3 linked regions of the Rattus norvegicus genome follow. The protein of the gene in region 1 purifies or fractionates together with the protein of each later gene. This does not show direct contact. Links are inferred from orthologs where the notes say so. Each region holds a gene or a part of one and is shown on either strand. Other genes may lie near its edges.

Evidence for each region. Proteins that work in one complex are often made in the same cells at the same time.
Region 2: the proteins of Sin3b (region 1) and Arid4b purify together in Homo sapiens (affinity purification with mass spectrometry; 3 studies listed by BioGRID and IntAct, with this or other methods). This does not show direct contact. The link is inferred for Rattus norvegicus from reciprocal best matches to the Homo sapiens genes SIN3B and ARID4B.
Region 3: the proteins of Sin3b (region 1) and Sap130 purify together in Homo sapiens (affinity purification with mass spectrometry; 3 studies listed by BioGRID and IntAct, with this or other methods). This does not show direct contact. The link is inferred for Rattus norvegicus from reciprocal best matches to the Homo sapiens genes SIN3B and SAP130.

What each region holds. Positions count from the first base shown.
Region 1 is NC_086034.1:17,189,106-17,197,413, forward strand, and holds the start of Sin3b (paired amphipathic helix protein Sin3b), read right to left. Parts: upstream 4,947-8,308; 5' UTR 4,925-4,946; coding exon 4,826-4,924; intron 4,231-4,825; coding exon 4,124-4,230; intron 2,711-4,123; coding exon 2,557-2,710; intron 1-2,556.
Region 2 is NC_086035.1:55,831,190-55,838,514, forward strand, and holds the end of Arid4b (AT-rich interactive domain-containing protein 4B), read right to left. Parts: intron 4,517-7,325; coding exon 4,389-4,516; 3' UTR 2,719-4,388; downstream 1-2,718. UniProt on the Homo sapiens protein: Acts as a transcriptional repressor. May function in the assembly and/or enzymatic activity of the Sin3A corepressor complex or in mediating interactions between the complex and other regulatory complexes.
Region 3 is NC_086036.1:23,577,613-23,585,462, forward strand, and holds part of Sap130 (histone deacetylase complex subunit SAP130), read left to right. Parts: intron 1-2,862; coding exon 2,863-3,004; intron 3,005-5,688; coding exon 5,689-5,810; intron 5,811-7,850. UniProt on the Homo sapiens protein: Acts as a transcriptional repressor. May function in the assembly and/or enzymatic activity of the mSin3A corepressor complex or in mediating interactions between the complex and other regulatory complexes.

The DNA.
Region 1 (8,308 bases):
AGTCAGAACCATTGGCACATCTTACCTCACTGATCCCCTCACTGTCCTCCCCAACCTCTCAGGGGTTCTGGATTAGCTGATTCCTGGCCATGCAGTGTCCCGTACGCCTGCCTCTCAGCTTCCCTCCAGCCCTACTCTATTTTACAGACAACCCTCCTAATGGCCCCATCCCTCCAAGGTCCTTCCCTATGTGGGTCCAGCTCCCACAAAGTCCCTACTATCAACATTGGGAGTCCTACACCCAAACCCCAAATTAAACAAAGGGCCAGTGTCCAAGGATGTGGTGGTTTGGAATTCATCAGGCCCAAGACACTACCTGTCCTTGTCAAAAAAATCACCAAGCCTCCCCACGGAGGGTGGTAAAGGACCAGCTTCCTGTGAGTATGCAAGACCAGGGACCTACTCTGACTGTCCCCAGGAGCTAGGTGTCCCATCCTCATTTGCCCACTGACAGCTGGTTTCCTACTCCTCCCCTAAAACAGCTCAGTGATGCAGGTAAAGGTCTGCTTCCCCTGAAGAGCTTGGTCAGGAGGGCAGCACCAACACAAGGAATATCCACTCCTCCCACCTGTGAGTGCCAGTGGGGACACTGAGGCAACAGCGGGAGAAGCTGAGGCTTCCTGAGGGAGAACAGCAGGTGAATGTGCTCCAAGCCTCCTGCTTATGACAAGGCATGGTTATCTATGCCCTCCCTTCACAGGAGGCAGATGAGATAAGGGCTTACTCCGTAGACCAGGCTTGGCTTTGAACTCATGGCAAATCTCCTGAGTGTGAAATGACACCTTGAATCAAAGCACCCAGCTCTGCTTGACCCTGTGTTGTCAACTGGGGTCCTGGTGCTTGTTACCTGGCTTTCAGCAAGGGTATAGGTGTCCCTGCATTAAAAAGGCAGAGGCCCTGGGTGCTACACCACATGCTAGAATACGGAACTCCTCACAAGAAAGAATAAGAGCCTGCCACACACATCCCAACAGCTGGGGACTCCGTCAACACCTTTGTCAGAACATATGGGAAGAGTGTTCAAATGTGGCTGTGAAACCTAACTAATGATAGGAGAGGGAGGGGGGGACGGCAGGAGGGAAGGAAGGAGGAAAGGAGGGAGGGAGGGAGGAAGGGAGGGCGGGAGGGAGAGAAAACACGCACACAAGAACGCTGCATTTCAAAACTCTAAAGCTGGGTGCTGCGACGGTGCCTATCATTCCAGCACTCTGGAAACTAAAGCAGGAGATTGTCTAGTTACAGAGCCAGGCTGGGATACAAAGACCACGTCTCAAATAATAAAAACAGCATAGATAGAAAAATGGCTGAAAATTAGAAATCAGCACGGTGCTGACATGTGGGGATGTGTAAAGTTTGGAACCCCAAGTTAGAAAGCAAGAAACACCTGGGTCAGAATCCCAATTGAGCACTATCAGGTCATTTGCTGTCCCTAAGATTAAGGGAGCAGCTCCAGAGTACTCCAAGGGAATGTGACTCAGGACAGGCAGAGGTGCCCTGTTCTTGGATCTAAGACTGTCTTGGTCATCCTTTCTGTAAGTCACAGGGGCTCCTTGGTCACCTAAGCCACCTATGAAGGGAGCAGTCCACCCCCATGACTCAAACTCCACTTCCGGCCAGCTCCCATTCCCTGTAGCTTAGCTTTCTAGTGAGTGGGGTCCTGAGTTCTGACATCATGCACGCCCTAGGAACTGCTCGTTCTCTTGACACAGCTCACACTGCCTGGTCCACAGCCACAGAGTCCAGAAGTTCTGTCTGTTAAGGCACTGACAGTCGCAGTTCCTGGGTACCAGGTACAGGTGTGAAACGGAAGATGCTGGAATCTCAGTGGCACATGCTTCTAGGAGTTCCCTCTGAAAACTGGGCAGGGCGGGGCTGCAGGAGGCAGGGTGATGGGCAGGGCCAACAGAACTTACACAGGAGCCGCTTGGAGGGCCTGTGGGGCCACACCACCTTCCCAGAGTCCCCTCCAACCTCACAGAAAGCCTGTGGTGGCTCCCGTGTCATCCTAGCACTTGAAAGACTGAGGCATGAGGATGAGGTTCTGAGCTACGGTGAGAGTGGCAGTGTGGAGAACTACAGACAGCAGGCTGCAGAGCCCAAGCCTGAGCTGAGAAAAGAGCGTCTGGTAATCCTATGACACAGTGAGAGGAACAGTTATTCCCATGCACACAGCTCAACCACCTCGGTCTTACTGATGGACTGACACAATGGAAGCCGAAGAGGCCAGTGCACACTTGGCCTGGTAGGTTTGTTGGGAAACCCTGGAGACCAGATCTCAGCTACTAGTGATTCAATGACCCTGACATCTCCTCCCTGCATGCCCGCCCCAAGTGCTAGGGATTAAACCCACGCTGAGTGTACTGTCTCACACTGACCCACACTCCAGCCATTACACTGGATGGGACAGCAAAGGCTGTCTCTGTGTTTCTGTCTGGCCGTACACTAGAGAACCTAGAAAAAGAACAGGCTGTACAAAGGCTGCCAGCAATATCAAAAATGTCTAGCTGTCCCTGTGGGTACGACTCTTGAGGTCCACATCACTCAAGCGAAACCTACCTGGTTGCTCAGAGGTGACTGGATGTTCAACTTGCCGTTCTTGGGAATGTCTATGCGGTATCCAAGCGGAAGGAAAGCATTAAACCCCACGATGAGGTCAGGGTGCTCATGGAAGAGCTGGGACACACGCCTAATCACGCCGGGGGTGTCAATGCTGGAAAAAAAGAAATGCAAGTGGGCAAGCATCCTGGGAGTTAACTGCCCAGGTGCCCTCGAGATCAACTCAGCCCAGGCTTAGTGGATAGATGACAAAGAAAATGGGCCCTAACACGTTGTTCTGTTTTTTCCTTTGGAGACAGGGTTTCTCTGTGTAGCCCTGGCTGGCCTCCATATGCCTGCTTCTGCCTGAGATTAAAGGTTTGCACAACCATGCCCCACTAAATAAATGGGCCCCACCATGTGAGACCACCTGTGACTAGGTCTAGCAAGAACTGTAACTGTAACTATATATATATTATATATATATATGTGTGTGTGTGTATGTGTGTATATGTGTGTATATATATATATGATAGTTTTGTGTGTGTGCACACATGTGCATGCGTGATGTATATAACTACATAACTGTATCTCCAGGCCTGGGCCCAATTCTGAAAATGTCCCCACGAGTTGGGTGCTGGGCTGAGACTCAACACAGTTCTCCAAGCAATGTGAGAAATTCCCTCATATTTTGTGAGTTAGAGATGGGTGAGGATACATTTTAATTTCTTTTCTAAAGGGAGTGTGTAAACACTGGAGCCTTCAAGTTGGGGGACTGGTAAAGTTGGGATGACACAAGTGTCTTCTTCTGGCCTCAGTACCCTGAATGTCCACAAGAAACCAGCCCAGTCCTTCCACACATCCAGAAAGCAGACAGGCAGGTCAGTACCAGGATCTGGGGGAAGTCCACTGACTGACAGTCTGGGTTCTAGCTCCACCCACCTGTCACTAGAGTAAGTTCCTTACCTAAACCAAGTCGCCCCTCCCAGAAGGTTCTAGAAGACATACACATAACTCAGAGGCAACCAATACACCTAACTGCTACGTGTCTACAAACAGTTCCTTTATAACCACACTGGTTCCGGATTGGTAAGTGCTATGAAAAGCATCTTTGGGACAAGAGTTAAAAAAGAGATTGTGCATACCCCTCCTAAGTAATATTTTCTTGCAGTATTAACAAAAGACGCTGCCCAAAACAAACAATCAAAATCTGTACCACCACATTTATTTTCTGCGTGTACCACAGATCTCAAGTGCAGGTCGACGACTCACAGGAGTCAGTTCTCTTCTCTCTGGGGCTGGAACTCCCAGTGCTCAGGCTTGGTGGTAGGCACTGTTACCCACTAAGACATTTACTCTACCCCAAATCAACATTTTAAAGACACACCCAACACTCCCTGTCCAGGCCTCAATTCCCTAATTCCTTTATTCCTTCCAGGAATCCCTACCAGTTCATCAGAACTACCTCATCTGGTGAAGGGGCTCCCAGGGCCCTCCAATCCTGTGCGTGATCACCAGCTGTGTAGTTAGTTTGGGGGTTGGAATGCTCGGCCCACTGCTCCTAGGTGTACAAGGCCCTGTAGATTACCTCTGGCTTTTGAACTCCTTCATGATCTCCAGGAAGCCGTTGTAGGTGGCAGGGTCACTGCCAAAGCGGATCTTCACCTGGTCGAGGTAGGTGAGAGCATCCTCCACCTGCAGGGAACAAGAAGGCCATGGGTGGGCAGGGGTCGGGGGATGCAGAGACTGAGGGCTGGAAGGTCAGGGATAGAGAAGGGGTGGCACCGGGCAGCAGAGGGCCGCGAGGATAACTGCGATGTTCCGGGAAGGACCGACGGCTGATTGGGAGGACCGAGAGCCAGCGGGTAGTCCCGAGGGGCCTCGAGGAGTTCCGGATTGGACCGAGGACTGGCGGGGAAGACCGAAGGGTCTCGGGGAGGTCACGAAATCCCCTGGAAGACCGAGGGGCGGCAAGAGTAACTAAGGGCCAACTAAGAGGACCAAGGATTTTCGGGGCGCACCGTAGGGTCCCGGGGATGACAGGGACCGCAGGAATGACTGAGGGATGTCGAGAAAGACCGCCGCATCTCTGAGAAGTCTGAGGAGCGGCGGGAATGAGTTGTTAGGGGGAAACCGAAGAGCCGCCCCAAAGACCGAAGGATTCCGCGGAAGGGGTGTGGGATCCCCGGGCCCGGGCTGCGCAGAGGGGAGGCCAAGGCGGGGCCGCACGGCGGGGCACCATCCCCGCGGGGGTCTGGATCCCCTGGAGGAGGCGAGGGACATCACTCACGTGCACTGGCAGCTTCTCGTGCCCCCCAGAGCCCGAACGACCCCAGCGGGAGCCACCGAATCCCCGGCCCGCGGAGCCTCCACCGCCTGCGTGCGCCATGTTGGAAGTCAGAGTCGCGTCTGCCCCGCCTCCGCTTGAGCTCAGGTCGCGCTTGCGCGAGCCCCGCCTCCTAGGGGTGGAGACTCCTGGCGTCAATGGGGCGTGTCCGCTCGAGGGACCTGCGGGACAGGCAGGTGATCATTCTCAAACTATGTGCCCTGGGGGGTCTGTGGCCACCTGGAAAGCCAAAAGTGTTTTTTGTTTCGTTTTGTTGGAGAAAAAGGAAGTAAAGCAAAGTTGAAGAATCTTTAAAAACGCATTAATTCTATAAAATTCGCATTTCAGCGTGCAGGCTCACCTGTGATCTCAGTACCAGGGAGTCTGGGAGAGGATCACTGAAAGTTCTAACCTAGACTGGGCTACATAGTTAAGACTATGTCTTTTAAAAATCGACAGGTATTGACCTTGTCTTAAAAAGAGAGGGAAAACAAGTATATGTCTGTGTTGACCCAAGACCCAATAGTGATATTTGTAAGGATCTGGTTCTTTCTGGAACAAGTTTCTGAACTTTCTGTGGGGTTAATATAGCGATGGACTGTAAGTGAGCAGCATTCATTCAAGAGCCACATGGACTGAGTTCTTGCGCGCGCGCACGCGTGTGTGTGTGTGTGTGTGTGTGTGTGTGTGTGTGTGTGTGTGTCTGTGTGTCTGTGTGTCTGTGTGTCTGTATGTGTGTGTGTGTGTGTCTGTGTGTCTGTGTGTCTGTGTGTCTGTGTGTCTGTATGTGTAAGTAAACTCACTCCTATATATATGTACAGAGGCCAGAGATGGACCTCCCAGCTCTTGTGTTTTGGGGGCAGGATCTCTTACTGAACCTGGAGCTCATTGTCTCCACTTTATATGGTGGTCATGGGTCTGCCCCTAGTCTGGACCCTCCTGCTTGCTTAGAGCAAGCTCTTTATCCACTAACTCCTCTCACAATTCCATTCCTTGATTCTGTTCACAGATGGGTGCAAACCTGGACCATGTGACCTCTGCTTCCAGACTGACTTTATTTTTGCGGGGCTGGGACTGGGGCCCACTTTAGACAAGTGCTCTACGGGTCTACATTTCCAACCCTTTATTTTTTTTTTAAATGAGACCTTCTCAGGTTACCCTCCAACTTGCAATCTTGTGGTCACCCTACCTTCACAGGTGCCACCATACTTGCCTCCAAATTTCCCCGTTTTAAAAGTTTGTATAGGCCTGTAGAAAGAGAAGTCAATGAAGATAGGGCTATTTTAAGACACAGATATACAAGGAAGTCCATCCCAGCTACTGTTTTTAAAATGTAAAACAAGGAAATATACTGCATTTATTTGTGGATAAAGTTAATCAGATACATAATTCTTCCTATATTTTCATATAAAAATGTTCTCTCCCATAAGTATATTTGTGGCAGGGCATGATAATGTTGCCTATAAGCCCAGTACTTGACAGGTGTTAGAAGAAGGATTTTGGGGCAGTGCTGAACTGGTCATTTCCATGCCAGGAAGAGGCCCCCTCTCAAAAATAGGAAGTATGGTAGAGGAGCTGGGGGAATGAGTCTGTGGTTAAAAGCCCTTGTTGCTCCCACAGAGGACCTATCCTTGGTTCTCAATACCTACATGGTGGCTCACGACTGCTTGTAACTCCAGTTTCAGGAGATCTGACACCTTCATTGACCTCTGCAGACACCAGGCCCACATGGTACACAGAGATCCATGCCAATCGAACATTCACATATTCATGAAACCACTTTTAAGTTTAAACAAGGTAGAAAGCAATAGAGGAAACTACCTCATGTGTACTTCCGGCCCCTACATGCATCCATACACACATGCACACCTATGTGCACACAATAACAAAAACATAAGGACCTAACTAGCTCTCACCCCTTAGCTTCCACCGGCTGCCAGTGCCCTCACACTGTGAGACATGCTCCCAGCACATGCCAGCCAAATCCAAACTCCAGCAGTCACTGGGGATGTCAAAAGTAATGGGGCTTTATACACGTGCTTATGATCCTGAAAGAGTTGATTTTCTGGCATGCATGGTGGCCAGGGATTAAACAGTAGTGACAGAATCCTAGGGCAAGCTGGCCAGCCAGGATGACTGCATTGGCTAGGTTAAGCAACTGAAAACTGTTAGTTTTCTGTCATTTGGGAAGAGAGAACCTCAACCAAGAAAATGCCTCCATCAAATTGGACTCGGGCAAGTCTGCAGGGGCCTTTTCTTGATTAATAGTTGATATGTGAGGCTCCAACCCAGTGTGGGTGCTGCCAATCCTGGGCTGCTGGTCCTGCTGAGTTTAAGAAAGCAGGCTGAGCAAGCCATGGGGAGCAAGGCCATAAGCAGCACCCTCCATGGTCTGTTTCAGATCCCACCTTGTCCTGCCATCCCTCAGTGAAGGGTTATGATATCGAACTGTGAGCTGGAGTAAACACCTCCCCCCACCTGCATGCTGCCTCCTGTCATGGTGTTTCATCACAGCAACAGACACCCAAGGACAGTAAGAGACCCTGAGGTATGTAGTGGTCAAGGTAGACACCTAAGGCTAACTTGTGACCTCCAGGTGAATACTCACATGAGTGCACATGATCTCATGAACATGAGGCTAAACATACAGATGAGACAGACAGACAGACAGACAGACAGATGGAGACAGACAGACAGACAGAGACAGAGAAGCTAGTCATGGTTATGCCCACTTGCACCCCAGTACTCTGGAAGCTGAGGCAGGAGAATCATTAGTTTGAGGTCAGCCTGGGGTACAGAGACACCATCTCCAAGCTTCAGCCCCAGCAAAGAGGAAGGAGAGGATACCAGGTAGGCCTAGCCTCAGAGTCCTGACAGAAGGGTTAGCCTTCCGGTCAGTGGCAGAAGAGAGCATCAAGCCTCCCGGCTAGCTCCCAGAGACAAGCAAGTCCCTGGGAACGAAGGTCTGGCCTTGAGCTGAGGACCTGGAGGAGCTGACATCCTGTGAGATACGGCACAAAGGGCCCTGTGACACTGTGCAGGATTGTTGGCCCACAGGAACAATCAGATAAAAACATGGTGGCTCTGGACAGATCTTGCAACAATTCGTTACTGAGCAACAAAGAACTAATTTAGCCCCCAAGTCCTTGCCCCAGAAAGCTTCTTCCCAGGGTGCCCACCAACTGCTGAGTCAGAGCTCCTGTTTATCTACACAAACCCTGCTCTGCCCAGGGAGAAGGGCTCACTATGAGGGGCTGATTGTGTGGAGCAGGAAGATTGGGGAGCAAGTCCCTTGGAACTTCCTCTCAATGTGGCTGTGAAGGAGAAACTGATCAAAAAAAAAAAAAAAATTGAAGCTAGGCACCATGGCTTATGCTTGTAAGAGACTGAGGCAGGAGGATTACCATGAGTTTCAGGTAATCCGGAGCTACATAAAGAAGTTCAAGG
Region 2 (7,325 bases), on another chromosome or scaffold:
TGCTTGCCAGCTGCTTGTGGTTGCCAGTCCCTTCACTTCATTGCAGATTCTTGGAAAACTGGCCTTTTAGTACATTTGGGATGTACTCGTTTCTTCACAAGGTTTTCTTTCTTTAGATGGCTCCTTCCAGAAGTTTGAAGTCACATTTAATACTTAAACGTTAAAAAATGCTAATCCACTGAGTGGGTGAAGACTATGCCTGTAATTCCAGCATTCAGGAAGCAGAGCCAAGAGGAACATTGTGCTTGGCCAGCGGGGGATACCTAGCAAAGTCCCTGTCTCCAAATATTTCAGATCCTAAGCAATACTGTGTTATCACATCCCTCTGCAATTATACAGTCACACAGGGGCCACACGAGCCTGTAATGCTGGCTTTTCAGTGGAAGGCTGAGACAAGAGGACAGCTTCTGAGCTAGGTGTGTGTCAAAGGTCAGCCTGGGCAACTTGATAAGGTAAAACCCTGTCTTGAAATAAAAAAGTAAAGCCAGGTGACTCGCACAGACATGTAATCTGAGCACTCAAAAGGCCTGAGGAGGACCAGACTTTAGTCATCCTCAGCAACATAATGGAATTTGAGGGAAGGAGGGCTCCATTGGCAGAGTTAGTTATGTCAGGGGAGTTACCCGCTAAACCCTAAAGGGGCACATGGACACAAGGGGGAGACCCTCATCGCCTCCAGGAGGGCACTGGCCACGCTGCAAGCTGTAGTCAGCCCGGCACAGCTCTCCAGGGCTCTCAATGAAACACAAATGAGTCTGACATAACACACTGACATAACACACGGCACTCACTGCTCCACACCCCCACATCACACACCACTCACCCCCACCCCCACTCCAGGCCCTTTTTTCCTCTTGTGCACCTTCCTTCCCAAAGCAAAGCTTAGACCTGAGCTTCCTTGAATGGCCTCAGTGCAGTCTTCACTTCTGGACTCCCACTAGTCAGTCATAACATTCCCTCTGGCCCCAAGTTCCAGTCACTTCCAAGATGGGGCCTTGCCCTTCTGTTGAGACTCCATTATCCAAGTAGTGTGTGGCTGATCAGTACTTAGGAGGTGGGGAACTGATGGTTCAGGTCACCAGTTTGTCCTGTTGTCCTGAGCCTATTAAGGAAATCTGGACTTGGGTGTACAAGAAGTCCAAATCATCTCCTTATGCTAAGCTGTAGGTGAACTTGAACTGACATTTGAATGACCAAACTACAGTAGAACGTGTGCATTCCTCCTGGCCGGTTCAGACCTATTCTCATGCCTCAACTTTGATTTAGATGTGGTGACGCTCAAGAGTATTAGGTACAGGGGTCAGTTGCATGTACAATAAGGCTAAATCAGATGCAAGGTTAACCGCCCTATATCTTCAGGCATGTGTCTTCAAAAGCAAGGGCCATGTCTGGCCTAGAACCCAGCTCTGCTGTGTCAGCCAACAGCATTCCGTGCTGCTGGGAAAAGGTGTACAGAAAATGACAAGGGCCATGCGGCACTCAGCTGAGGGGGTCCTTGCTTTCTTACCGTTGTTAAGATGAGAAAGGTAAGCTATGGAGTCTTGAACATTCCTGGGCTCTGACTGCAACAGCAGTGCATTTGTGTCACCACCGGCTTCCTCTCAAGTGACAGCACATTTTTGATATTGAAACCCCTCACTGACTGAGGTGACTGATATAGCAGACTTGTTAGATGGCTTTCAAGACCCTCTACAGACTATGAGGCCAGCTCTTCCACCTCCTTCCTCCTTAAATGCCACAATGAACATGTGGGAGCAAACAAGTTCCTCTTGAAGTTGCTTAGTAGAGGACGACGCACCTCTAACGCCACACTTAGGAGGTAGAGGAGGTAAATCTGAGTTGAGGGCTACAGATGACAGATTAAATTGTTGCAGTATTTTTTAAAAGATCATACATAATATATCAGGTGAATTGGAGCACCCTGGAAATGGGGAGAAGCACACTGGCTGGTTTAACCATGATTACTGGATTCCTGTAACAGGCACAGAGGGGTTACTCAAAGCAGAGCCAGAACGGCTCCGTCATAATGAGAATCTGTGAAATTGAAGCCAGGTTGGACAATATAGCAATTTTATTCCCAAGAAAAAGGAAAAAGAAGGTTTATGTTTATTGAGTCTTGGTCTATACCCAAGATCACTGCCTCAACCTCGTGAGGGTGGGATTACAGGTGCGGGCAATCATATACTGCAGAAACATCTTTTTATATTTGTGTATTCTCTGTGTGTGAATGCAGAGGACAGTCTTCCTTCTACTATTGGGGTTCCAGGGATTCACAAACCAAGGTTGGTCATCAGTGCTTACCTCTGAGCATCTTGCTAGCCCCCAAATACAGTTTTAAAGTTGTACTTAATTATTTCCTTCTTTGGACAACCCCCCAAATCGTAACAAAAAGATTTGTATTTACACTCTAGCAAAGTAATGTAGAGAAAGATAATAACAACCTTAAAAAAAAAAACAATTTACTTAAGGTTTGTTTTTTTTTTTTTTTTTTGGACAGGTTTGATTTGGTGTAGTGTTGGGAACTGAAGCCAAGGGCCTGGGGCACACTAACTCCATGCTGTACAACCAGCTGTGAAGGGGCTTTAAGGTTTAAAAGCAGAGCACTGCCTTTGGGACACTGATGTGTCCTTGTGATAATGCAGGCTGCAGCATGTACATATTCTCAGCAGTCATCACATACAAGGTGAACTAAAATTACTTAACCTGCTACAAACAAAATCAAGGATTCACAAACTATGGCATTTTATTTCAGAGCTTCTGCTTACATTTGTACAATATATTACATAATTCATCATGTTTGCAGATCCTAATATATACTTTATAGTTTTATTCTATTAGTTTTTCTTCAACATTTTGCTGTCAACAAATCTTTACAGTCTGTACAAATTTGAGTAACTTGAAACCATTTTTCAACAAAATTAGTTACTGTAAGCACACATTACAAGACTGAAAATGCTTTTCTTAGAAAGGTTCAATGTAAAGGATTAAGGATTCTGACACGTTAGCATCCACAACAAAACGCTTCAAAATTCTCACATGTATTGCCAGAAAACAAATAAAACATGCCAGCCTCATTCAAAAAAAAAAAAAAAAAGGAAGAAAAAAAGAAAGAAAAGAAAAGAAAAGCACACAGAACCACAATTAAAACAGTAAAACAGTCTGTACAGTGAAGTACTGTGTATTTAACAGCGCCAGGTTTTAAATAGCTTCAATGAACACATCCGCAATATACAAATGTATTACAAAGGTGGGGAATTAAATACAAGTGCCAAACAGAGATTGGAATCACACAACATAAAGTCAATACAAGTGAAAACAGCTTGGCGTTCATTTTGCAGTTTATACAAGGCATTTAATTGTATAGGCCTACTACCCAATTAGCTACGTATACGTAAAATAACAATCATCTTTGTGAGGCAGGTCATAGAAACAGCCTTGAACCATTCTAACAGTTTGTTCCTGAATTCTTTTTGTTGTAAGCTCATAATAAAATAAGCAATACAAATGAATTATCTGCATTTAAGGGAAAAGAAACATTTACAAGAAAACACAAAAATATAACTGTTATAATTCATTATGAATAAATATACACTTTGAACTGGCTAAGTACAATCTTTATACATTGTTTAAGATTTAATACAGTTTATTAGCCATTTTCTTTTTTCACACAATGTATTATATCAAAATTAAAAAAAAATACTGATTTATAGAAAAATGGCAAAGTACAGTAGTCCCATTTCAATTTAAGGGGTGTGAAAAGCCACCACATACCTTTTAGCCTAATTCAAACCTGTAAACATGTTCAGTCATTTTTAAAGAGAATCTTCAATATTTGGTTACCAGGATGAAATCTAATAATATCCTGTTAACTGCAGGTTTTGAATTTGTTACATGTGCTTGACTTATACAATTAAAGTCACCATAAGGTGACTTGCTTTAAAAAACAATTAGCTTGTACAAATGAAAATAGGTTCATATTTTTAATAAATGAATGGAAAAATATCAAATGTTCCAGCTTTAACAAAATACAAGGGAATACATATACAGTAAGTCATCTCACATGTTCTGGCCCACCTTTTCTCCACCTACTGCATCATCTTCACAGGCAGTGAAAAGCCTCCTCTGCCACAGTGGAAGGCCTTCGAGTTACCAGACACGCAATTCCCAGACAAGTTGGAAACAATTATTGCTTGAGGAAAAGCAGTTCGTTGTACTTTTTCTTCATAAAAAAAGTGCACTTAAGTGCCAAGTCAGCTTGTCAAGAAATAATTTTTAAATATAAAATAGTGCTTGTCTGATTTTGTGTGTTTGTGTGCCACTGTGCAGTATAAAAAAAGATGTGGCCCTCAACAGCCATTAAGTGCAAAGTGCTCTAGCAAGTCCTGCTGTCACCTGCACTCAACTGACATTCCATTCTGTGATGCACTGGACATTGACGGCTCAGCTAGTGTCAACATAACAGCAGCTGTTATGGAGCTGGATGAGGGAGAGGAGGAGGAGGAAGATGTAGCAGCACCTGAGGAAAAGGAAGAACACATGTGAGGCTACAAGGCAGGCTACACTGGGAAGAAGCAAAAGCTCATCTTCAGCCTAAACTTCTTTTGTGTTCTCCAAATTCAGCGTTTAGGAGCCATCCCTGCTCAAAGTACCATAGTGTAAAGAAGGGGAAAGTCCATGTATCTAAGCAGCAGACTGTTGCCCATCTGTAGAACGCAGATGGTACAGTATTTAGAGCTCAGTGACAATGTACTTGCTTGGACTACAAGGCCATTAGTTCTGTTCCTAGCCCTGCCAAAGAAAAAAGAAGCAAGGTGGAAAGGAAAGAGGGAGGAAAGGAATTGTGTATCCACACTGTAGAATACAAAATTAAAGAATAACTTTGTTCACTAAATACCCACCCAGTTTTGAATGAAAACAGGAAAAATGTCTGTCATTTCTGCTACTTTTCTAATACCACATTTCTGTACCACTTCTCCAATAAACTTTGAGACCTCAGAGACAGCTTACAGGTATACACTGCTTGCCTCTGTAGCCTAACAACCTGAGCTGAACTCCCAGAAGCTACAAGGTGGAAGAGAAGAAATGACTCCATGATGTTTCTTCTTGTGCACACTGCACTCAGACAATAAATGATTTTGTTTCCAAGTTTAAACAGAATGGGTGGTTCAGGTGAAAAGCTAACCATCTGTACGACCTCCCAGTGTTTATAATATACTGTTTTCCTCAACAGAATCATTATATCAACACACGGAATGGAATGTTTTAAGATAATACCTACATACACAAATAAGAAGGAAGTAAAGACCCAGTGAGACAGCTCTATGGATAAAGGCACCTGCCACCAAGCCTGTCCAGTCTGAATGTATATCTGAGATCCACAAGGTGGAAAGAAAGAACTCACCTCCAAAAGTTGTCCTCTGACCTCTAGATGTACATTGTGGTAGAGATGCACATATGTATGTGTACGTGCCTACATACATACGTACGTGTACATACACACACACACACACACACACACACACACACACACACACACACACAAAATGTAAAAGAAAGTTTTTGTCCCATACATGGGAGTAAGTTGGAGAAGCAAATTTGTTACCAGAGCTCTATTTGCCCAAATGCTCCCCTTCCTGTCCCTAGTTGTCCAATGTTTAAAACTTTGGATGAAAGTATTACTGTAAGGCCTAATCTTTGATAAAGACGGTTGCAATGATCCATAACCACACACTTATTTCTGCATTTCAGAGACTCTGGACTACCAGAGCCAAACAGTTTCTGTAGAGACTATAGTGGTCCTCAAATAGTCACCATGTCTCTAGAGACAACATCTACAACTCATGTTCTAAAAGAATTTCATCCTAGAATCTCGAAATGGGAACTTATACTTCCTAATTTAACAGCACTTATTAAAACACAGGGAGGAGCTGGGGAAGAAGCCCAGTCACTGGAATGACTGTAGAGACCCAGTTCCATCTCTAGAACCTATATAAAAAAGTAGGGCCTGGTGGCCAGCCAGTTTAGCCTATGAGCAAGGTCCAGGCAAATGAAAGGTGCTGTCTTAAAAATAAGGTATCTGAGGTTGTCTGTGGCCTCCACGCACAAGCAAACACACAAACACAGGTGGAAGGAAAGAGTAAATATTGTGCAGTGTCATACAGTGTACACTCTCTTGCTTTTACTTTGATTTAGGCTATGAGACAGGGTCTCACTATATAGCCCTGACTAACCTGACCTTGAACTTTTGCAAACACTGTCCTGCCCCTGCTTCTTGAGGGCTGCAGTATGGGCCAGCACCATAGTGCAAGATCATCCACATCAGCTCTATTGCCTTTTCTTCTCAAAGTTAAATAGTAGTATACTATATTTATGAATGAGAACTTCTTTAATTTCTAAGCTTTTGTTGTTACCAACAATGTAATATTTTGTACATAACAAATACAATTTTATTTAAGACAGGGTCTTAAGCAACACAGGCTAGCCCCAAATCCACCATTTAGCCAAAAATGGTATTTCTCCTGATTTTATTTTACCTTCCAAGTGTTGGAATTACAAGTGTGTGCCACCACACCTAGATACGAATACAAAAACTTAATGTCTGCTTTATTTTCATTGGCTTGAATATGCAATTAAATATTTTCCATCAGCAATGTTGCTAATTCAACATTAACTGATTCCCATCTTGATTGCGCATGGCTTCAATACTATGAACTAATGGAGCAGGCTTCCCTCACTCCCTGCTTCCATTGCTGCTCCTAGTCTATGTGCCACCCAGCATGTCATTTCCCTGTGTAAACGCTTCTAACAGCACTCTCTCTCCTCAGAATAAAACTGCAACCCCTCACTCTATCCTACACAGTCCCACATGTCTTGCCCTCTGTTTACCTGACTCAAATCTCTACTACTTTCACACCACAATGGTTTTCATTCTGGTGTGGAAAAGAACCAAGTATACTCTCACTTCAGAGCAGTGGTTCCTACCTAATTTGGGGTCATTCTACCACTCCTTCATCCTATGCATACCTGACAGTGTCTAGAAGCATTAACATGCTGTGCCACTGGCATGTGGGATGGCAGCTAGAAAAGCTGCTACATAGAGAACAGCTATCAAGCTCAAAAGCCAACAAGGTCACATTTAAGGAATTCTATCTCAAGGACATCTGTCAGGGACTTCTGGTGTGAACTGAGTCATGCACCAAAACTACCAATGGGAAATAATTACAAGTCATACTGTTAGAAGGAATGTCAACTATTACCACCACAGAAAACAACATGGAGGTCCCTCAAAAATTATAAGCAACACTACTACATTATGTAGAAAGGAC
Region 3 (7,850 bases), on another chromosome or scaffold:
TAGCAGTCTCTCAGGACGTGGTAGTTAGTGTAGGTTAGCAGTCTCTCAGGACGTGGTAGTTAGTGTAGGTTAGCAGTCTCTCAGGATGTGGTAGTTAGTGTAGGTTAGCAGTCTCTCAGGACGTGGTAGTTAGTGTAGGTTAGCAGTCTCTCAGGATGTGGAATGCATGGCTTTAGGCTCTTCCGGCTTCAGAGTTTCCACTGAGAAATCAGCTGGTATTCTGATGGATTTTTTTTTTACATGTGACTTGTGTTTTGTTTTGTTTTCTCTTGCACCTTTCATTACTCTCTCTCTCTTTGTTCTCTCCCTTGGTGGCTTGACTAGGATGTTCTGTTGGGATGTTCTTTTCTGGTCTTGTTTGTTTGTCTCGTATGCGCTTATATCTGTTTGGGTGTGACCTTCTTTAGTTTGAGACATTTTCTTCAGTGGTCTTCTTGGCCATTGGTCTGTGTCATTGACCTGGGATTCTTGCCCTTGTCTCTTCTCTAACTCAGACCTTGGTCTTTTCATGATATCCCACGTTTCCTGTGTGTTCCTTTCCTGGTTTGTTTTGTTTTCATATTCTTTGCTTATTTCTCTAGTTCCTCTTACTTTGTCTTCAGGTCCTGATATTCTGCTTGCTTGGTTCTCCGTGTAAGACTTTGCTTGCGTTGCCTGTTAGACTGGTAGGGATTTCCAGTTCTAGCTTCATCTCGCCTGGAGTTGCCATGTTTCTGTTTATTGAATTCAGTTTTCAAATGATGTATTTTCTGTCATTTCCATCAGCCTTGTGTTTGTGTCTCCTTGGGCACCATTCAGGCATTTTATTCTCTTTAAAGTCATTGAGCTGCTTTACATTCTTTAAACTTTTTAATTTCTTTGATGATGTTTTTTTTGTTTTTTTTTTTTTTAAGATTTTGTTTATTTCATGTATATGAATACACTGTAGCTGTCTTCAGACACACCAGAAGAGGGCATCGGATCCCTGTTACAGATGGTTGTGAGCCACCATGTGGTTGCTGGGATTTGAACTCAGGACCTCTGGAAGAGCAGTCAGTGCTCTTAACCGCTGAGCCATCTCTCCAGCCCGATGATGTTTTTTATTGTTTTATTTTTTTGTTTTTTTTTTTTTAATTCTGGGCCTCATCTTCAGGCAGTCCTCTTTGGGACCATTATTATAGGACTGATGAGTCTGGGGTAGATACTACCTTGACCGTTTATATTGTTTATATTTTTAGGATGAGATCTAGGTATATGGACTTCTTTAATTACTTCTATTCGATATGAGCAGAGTAGGTTGGGGCAGAACCTAGGATGTGCAGGCCAGGTTAGGCCTTGAGGTTGGACATGGCTTAAGTGGAATGAAGTTAGGCAGACATGGGAACCTGGGCTGGCATACATGGTGCATGTCCTGGTGTAAGCCTGGATTTGGGGGTAGATCAGGCAGTTGGAGAGGGTGCTTGCACAGGACAGGCACTGGGCCCTGGTGAAGGATGTGCAGGATCTGACTGGAAAGAACGGTGGGATGTGTCTTGAGAAGGGTCTGTAGGTTGTAGCCAGGTGGGGCTGGGAGAACTTGTAGAAGCCTAGAGGCAGGGGTGGCAAGACACTAGATGTGGGACCCAGCTCTGTTTTGGGGACTTGGAGAGCATGCATGGAGGGGAGGATCAGGCCAACCCTGGGAAGGATTGCCCCGTTACTATTGATTAAAGAATTACTTGCTTTGTGTGTGTATGTTTGCTGAGTTGTATGTATATGTACCACTTGCATGCATGGTGCCCACAAAGACCAGACAAGAATGTTGACCCTCATGCGGTTGGATTAGCAGTGGTTGTGAGCCACCGCATGGGGGCTCTTTAAGTGCTCAGCCAGCCGCCTCCACCTCTCGACTTTGACTTTTAATATTAACTTGCCCTTTATGTTTGGCATTAAGAAGTAGAGGCAAACTAAATGACAGTCTCCCGAGTACGCAGACTTTCTTGGACTTGACTAATTATTCTGTATGTCTATATGACAACAGGAGATACCTGGGGAGAGTAAGTTCCCTTTTGTCACCACGTGGGTGGGTCCCAAAGATCAAGCTCAGGTTGCCAAACTTCCAGACAAGTGCCCTCACCACTGGACCATCTCACCAACCCAGATTTGACTTTAAATCAAGCTGTACTTGAATGTACCCTGTATAGTAAGAAATTGAAGTTAACTTTGCTGACGCAGTTAGAAACATAACTCAAAGTCTGAACTGAGGAGAACTTAAACTTTGGAGAAATTTGGTAGACTGTAAGGTGAAATCCAACAGGAAGCAGTAGGGAGGATCGAACAGTTGATCACCTCATTCATGTGAGTGCTGTCCCAAGGTGCTTCATGACTATCTTCTAGTTTCTTCTAAAATCATTGCCATTTTATATCAAAATATTATGCTGAGAGGTGTGTGTGTGTGTGTGTGTACGTGTGTACGTGTGTACACATACACGCGCGCATGTACATAAGTAGTTGTGGAGACTAGAACAGTTGTTTCATGAGAACTGTCCACCTTATATTTTGACCAGGGTCTCTTACTCACCTGGAACTTGCCAATTAGGCTAGGTTTGCTGGCCCGTGAGCCCCAGGCATCTCCTGGTTTTTATCTTCCAAGGGAAGACTATCTCCATCCCTCAGGTTCACGCCACCATGCTCATTTTTCATACTAATTCTAGAGATGCTCTTGCGTGCACATCAGTGAATTTCTTAAACCTCTAATTAGTTCAATCTTGGGATCCCCAAAAAGCCAGGCTGCAAGTAAAAGGCCTGGTTGGTGAAGGCAAACTGTAGGCATTTATAAGGATTCTACTCACATGTCCAGCTTGCCCGTGAGTAGTAATGGAATTGATGCTTTATTGTCGTTAGCTAAGGTGGTGCCCCAGCAGATCACACACACTTCCCCTCGGATCCAGCCTGATTACCCTTCCGAGAGGAGCAGCCTGATCCCCATTTCCGGCCATCGGGCCTCTCCAAATCCTGTGGCCATGGAAACCCGAAATGACAACAGGTAGGAGGCAATGTCTCAGTCGCCCTCATCTTTCATGATATTGTCTTTGCTTTCCCCTCTGAAAATAATACACTATTGGATTTCTATTTTAGTGTTATAAAGTGCACAATTGTTATCAAGCCATTATTCTTCTGGTGGGTATTCTCCTAGTATCCATTTCTTGGTTGTGTTAAGTTTTGTTTTGTTTCTGGGTTTGGTGTTTTGTTTTTTAACCATTTTTAGAATATGGGTTGCGGGATCACAACCTTTCTCCATAAGTACTTATATCTGTTTCTCTTAGGCGCAGTATATTGTAAGCAATTACGGAGAGTTGAAATGATCGTATAGCCATCAGTTCTCTTTTCTACACCTTCATTGTAGCATTGACAGCCCAGTTACATTGTACAGTAGCAGTTTGTGGTTTTGTCGTATTGTGTCCTCACCATTAGATTGCGGCTGTGCATTTTTGGAATGGTTCATTCTCACCATTACAAAGCACATGCTGGCTATAGTCCTGTGGTTGCCAGGTTATTATAGTTAGTAAATGAGGGTGGAGGTGTTCATCGGTCATTTTCTAGTCTGGAGGGGGGTGTGTGGGGGATCAAATCTCTGTGAGTCTGAGACCAGCTTGGTCTACATAAAGAATTCCAGGACAGCCAGGAAGACAGTGAAACCCTGTGTCAATGACAACAACTTTGAAGCTATGACTTTTTATTCAATCATTGTATTTTCTGGTAATTCATGGCTGAATTAGTTACAGTATTTGCAAAGGACTGACTTTTCTGTTGCTTCTTCCATATCATGATTGGCTTTCTGAGGTGAAGAGACTTTCCTGTATATATTTATGTATTTGAGTTTTGTTTGACTTTGAATGTCAGAGCCTATGAATTTAGTTTTGTTAACTAGCAGGCAAGGGACTTAATTTCAGTCATTGCTGCCTTTTATTTGGAGTTAAGATGGACTCCTTTGGGATAACCTCAAGACCACACTTGTGGGATTCACCATCTCCCTTCCTCTCTAGCCCTTCCTTTATTTCCCACAACACATATCCATTGAGCCCAGGAGTCTGTTGTTTTCCAGGGGCCTTGGATCCTTTGGAGAGCTGCATTTCAACCTTTGCTTGGCTCTGGCTATAGATTGTTGGTCCTCCATGCCTTTGCTGCAGGCAAAGGTCAGAAGCGAGTGACATTTGAAGACATGCTGACACTTCAGTTCACCCCTGTCCCATATCTGTATTCCTTTCCCCACAGTGTCAGTCTTTTAGAAATATTTATGGTTTTACTTAATATTTTACTTTATATGTCCATCTACCAAGCTACATGTTCTTATTAGCTCTAAACTCTATATATTCTCTTAGATTCCCAATGCAAGCATTCACATTTCATCTACAAATAGGCAGGACCATTGTTTGTTCACTTGTTGCATATAGACAGCATCTTTTCATTTGCATTTATTTTAGGAAGTAGCCAGAGTTCTCAGTATGATGTTAGCGGGATGGCTCAGCAGTTAGGGGCTGGCTGCTCTTCAGAGGATCTGAGTTCAGTTCCTAGCACCCACATGGCAGCCTGCAACCATCTCTAACTGCACTTCCAGGGAATCTTAACCCACTCTGGCCTTCAAGGCCACTGTATGCACATGGCACACATACATACATGCAGACCGAACATCCATACACATGAAGTAAATAACAAAATTAAAGTACAGTGGTAGGGGAGATGGCGAGCCTCCTTGTCTTATCCCTGCCTTAAGTGGAATCTTTGATAGATTCCATTCCATCCTGTCTACAGTGTGATGAATAGAAGTTCTCTTTCTATTTTAAGCCTTTAGTTCTTGAAGGGTGTGCTGCGGATATTTTTTCTGTTTTTGTAAATTTTTAAACTGCTTCAAATAGTTGCTTTCTTTGGGTTTTTGTAAATATGTAAAGCATGAATAGCAAATGGGACTGAGTTATTATTTTCTTCCTGTGATTGTAATGGACTTGTTTCTCTGCATAATTCAAATTTGTGTACAATTCTTCGGTCTAAGTATAGAGTAAAATTTGTTGTCTTTTCTGACCATTTTTGGTATCAAGAAAGTATTCAGATCAGAAAAACAAAGTAAATCTCATTTTCTTATTTTCTGGTCTCTGAATTAGTTTTTATAAATTAGAGGGGTTTTTTTTTATGCATGTTAGATTAAATTTTCCAACAATAGCAATATAACTGTGTATCAAGTGGAATAGTTCATTGGCTGCTTGATTGGCTAGAGAAGGGATCTTTAGTATAGTGTAAGTACCCATAGTCATCTCAAACTCTGGGACTCAAATGAACTTCCCATCTCCTGGGCTTTTGTCACTTCTTTTGGTTATTGTCTTAGAAAACATCCTTAAAGTCTTAAAAAAGTCATCTGTGGGGGTTGGGGATTTAGCTCAGTGGTAGAGCGCTTACCTAGGAAGCGCAAGGCCCTGGGTTCGGTCCCCAGCTCTGAAAAAAAAAGAACAAAAAAAAAAAAAAAAAGTCATCTGTGGAGCCTGTTGTAACATTAACTGACGTGTACTAATAGCAACCATGTACTGCTTTCTGGTTCTTGGTTTTGTCCTTTGATGTAAAGTTGGGACACAGTTGGGAGACTGTAGTGCTGTGCACTGTGACAAGGGGGTCTGGGGCATGGGGTCCTTTGCATGAAGAGACTGACTTTGTTCCGTGCAATCTGTGCTGTATTTCTAGACCTTCGGTTCCTGTTCAGTTCCAGTACTTCCTGCCAACCTACCCGCCCTCTGCCTACCCGCTGGCTGCCCACACCTACACCCCTATCACCAGTTCTGTGTCCACTATCCGGCAGTACCCAGGTACGAGCGGCCACTGAAAATCACTTTTGCATGTTGTCACTTTTGTCAGCAACGAGAAAGAAGCTGATCAGAGGGCTGGAGAGACGGCTCAGCGGTTAAGAGCACTGACTGCTCTTCCAGAGGTCCTGAGTTCAAATCCCAGCAACCACATGGTGGCTCACAACCATCTGTAATGGGATCTGATGCCCTCTTCTGGTGTGTCTGAAGACATCGACAGTGCAATCACTCACATTAAATAAATAAATAATTCTTTAAGGGAAAAAAAAAGAAACTGATCAGAGTATCTCAGTAAGATTCTAGCTTCCTGCCAGATTCAGATCATGTAAGACTGTAAGCGCCTTTAATCAACATGTTTATGATCTATGAAGGGTGGTTTCTTACTTGTGATATTTGAATAGTTTTAGCCTACCCTGAGAATAATCATGTGACTTAAAATGATATAATTTCTGAATGAAGCTGTATTCTACAGGTTAGTTTTAAGTCTTGGTATGTTTTAATTTACCAACCTGATTTGTAAATGCTAATTTATCAAATAATCCAGGAAAAATAAGTGTGGATTTTTTTGTTTTGGGTTTTGATTTTTTTGGGAGAGGAGGGGTTGTTTTTTGGTATTTTGGCTTTCGGTTTTTTGAGTTAGGGTTTCTCTTTATAACAGACCTGGCTGTCTAGAACTCCCAGGTCATCTTTAGTAGACCAGGCTACCCTTGAACTCACAGAGATCTGTCTGCCTGTGCCTTCAGAATACTAGGATTAAAGGTGTGCCCCACCATGCCTAGCAAAGTTTTTTTTTCATTTTTTGTAATGTTTATTTATGTGTAAATATATACACATGTGTTTGAGTGTCTAGAGAAGTCAAAGTGTGTCAGATTCCTTTGAGCTGGCGTTACCAGCATTTGTAAGTAGCACAAGCATGAGCGATGGAGCAGGAAGCACTAACTCTTAACTGCTAAACCAACTCTGTCCCTAGAAAACATTCCTAGCTTTTGAGTTTGTATAACTTTTTCCCTAGATCTCAGACAGCCTTGTCCAGAGTGAGCCAAGTGTGGGGCTATTTTATAGATGATAGAATCCCAGCACATACAAAGCTGAGGCAGGAGGATCACACATTCAAGATTAGCCTGGGTCACATAGCAGCTTCCAGGCCTACCTGTGTTGCTCTGCATGACCCAGTCCCCCACCACCCAACCCCACCCCATAAAAAATTTCGGGATGAGGATGTGGCTCAGTTGGTGGGGCATTTGCCCATCACCCACAGATCTCTGGTTTGATACAAAGCCACATAAACCAAGCTTGGTGCTTTATGCCAATATTCTGAACACCAAAGAGCGTGGGGAGTCAAAACGTCAAGGCTGTCTGCTACATAACAAGTTTGAGTCCAGCCTGGGATACATAAGATCCTGTCTTTAAAAACTAAGCCTGAGCAGGCAAGATGGCTTACAGAGAATAACTGTGGGAGCTGGTTCTTTCCTTCTACTGTGTGGGTTTGGGGGTAGAACTTACATGATCAGGCCTGGCCCTTACCTGCTGAGCCACCGCCTCGCCAAGTCTTTGTTACTTGGAAATAAAATCCCCTGTATTTCAGGCCAAAGTGCTATGTGATGGGAGATGACCTTGAACTTGTGACCCTCCCCCTTCAGTGTGCTGGGAATGCAGACATGAACCACACCAGGTTTCAGACCTGTTTGTTTATTAGTTGTCACTGAGAGAAGACGGTATTTTTAAATGTTTATTTCACTATTTTCAGTGTGTGTGTGTGTGTGTGTGTGTGTGTGTGTGTGTGTGTGTGTGTGTACATTACGTGTATGTGAGCTCAGGTGTTCACGGAGGCCAGTTACAGATGGTTTTGAGTCACCAAACATGGTACTGGGACCAAACTGCTGACTGTCTCTCTAGCCCCCTCTTTCCTACTTTTGTTTTTAATGATGGGGGGTTGGAGGGGTGGCTGTGTTCGAGTCTGAGTGCTGGTACCCAAGAAGTCCAAATCAGGTCACCGAGTGCACTGGTGTTTCAGTGGCAGGGGATTGTGAGAAATCGCATGGG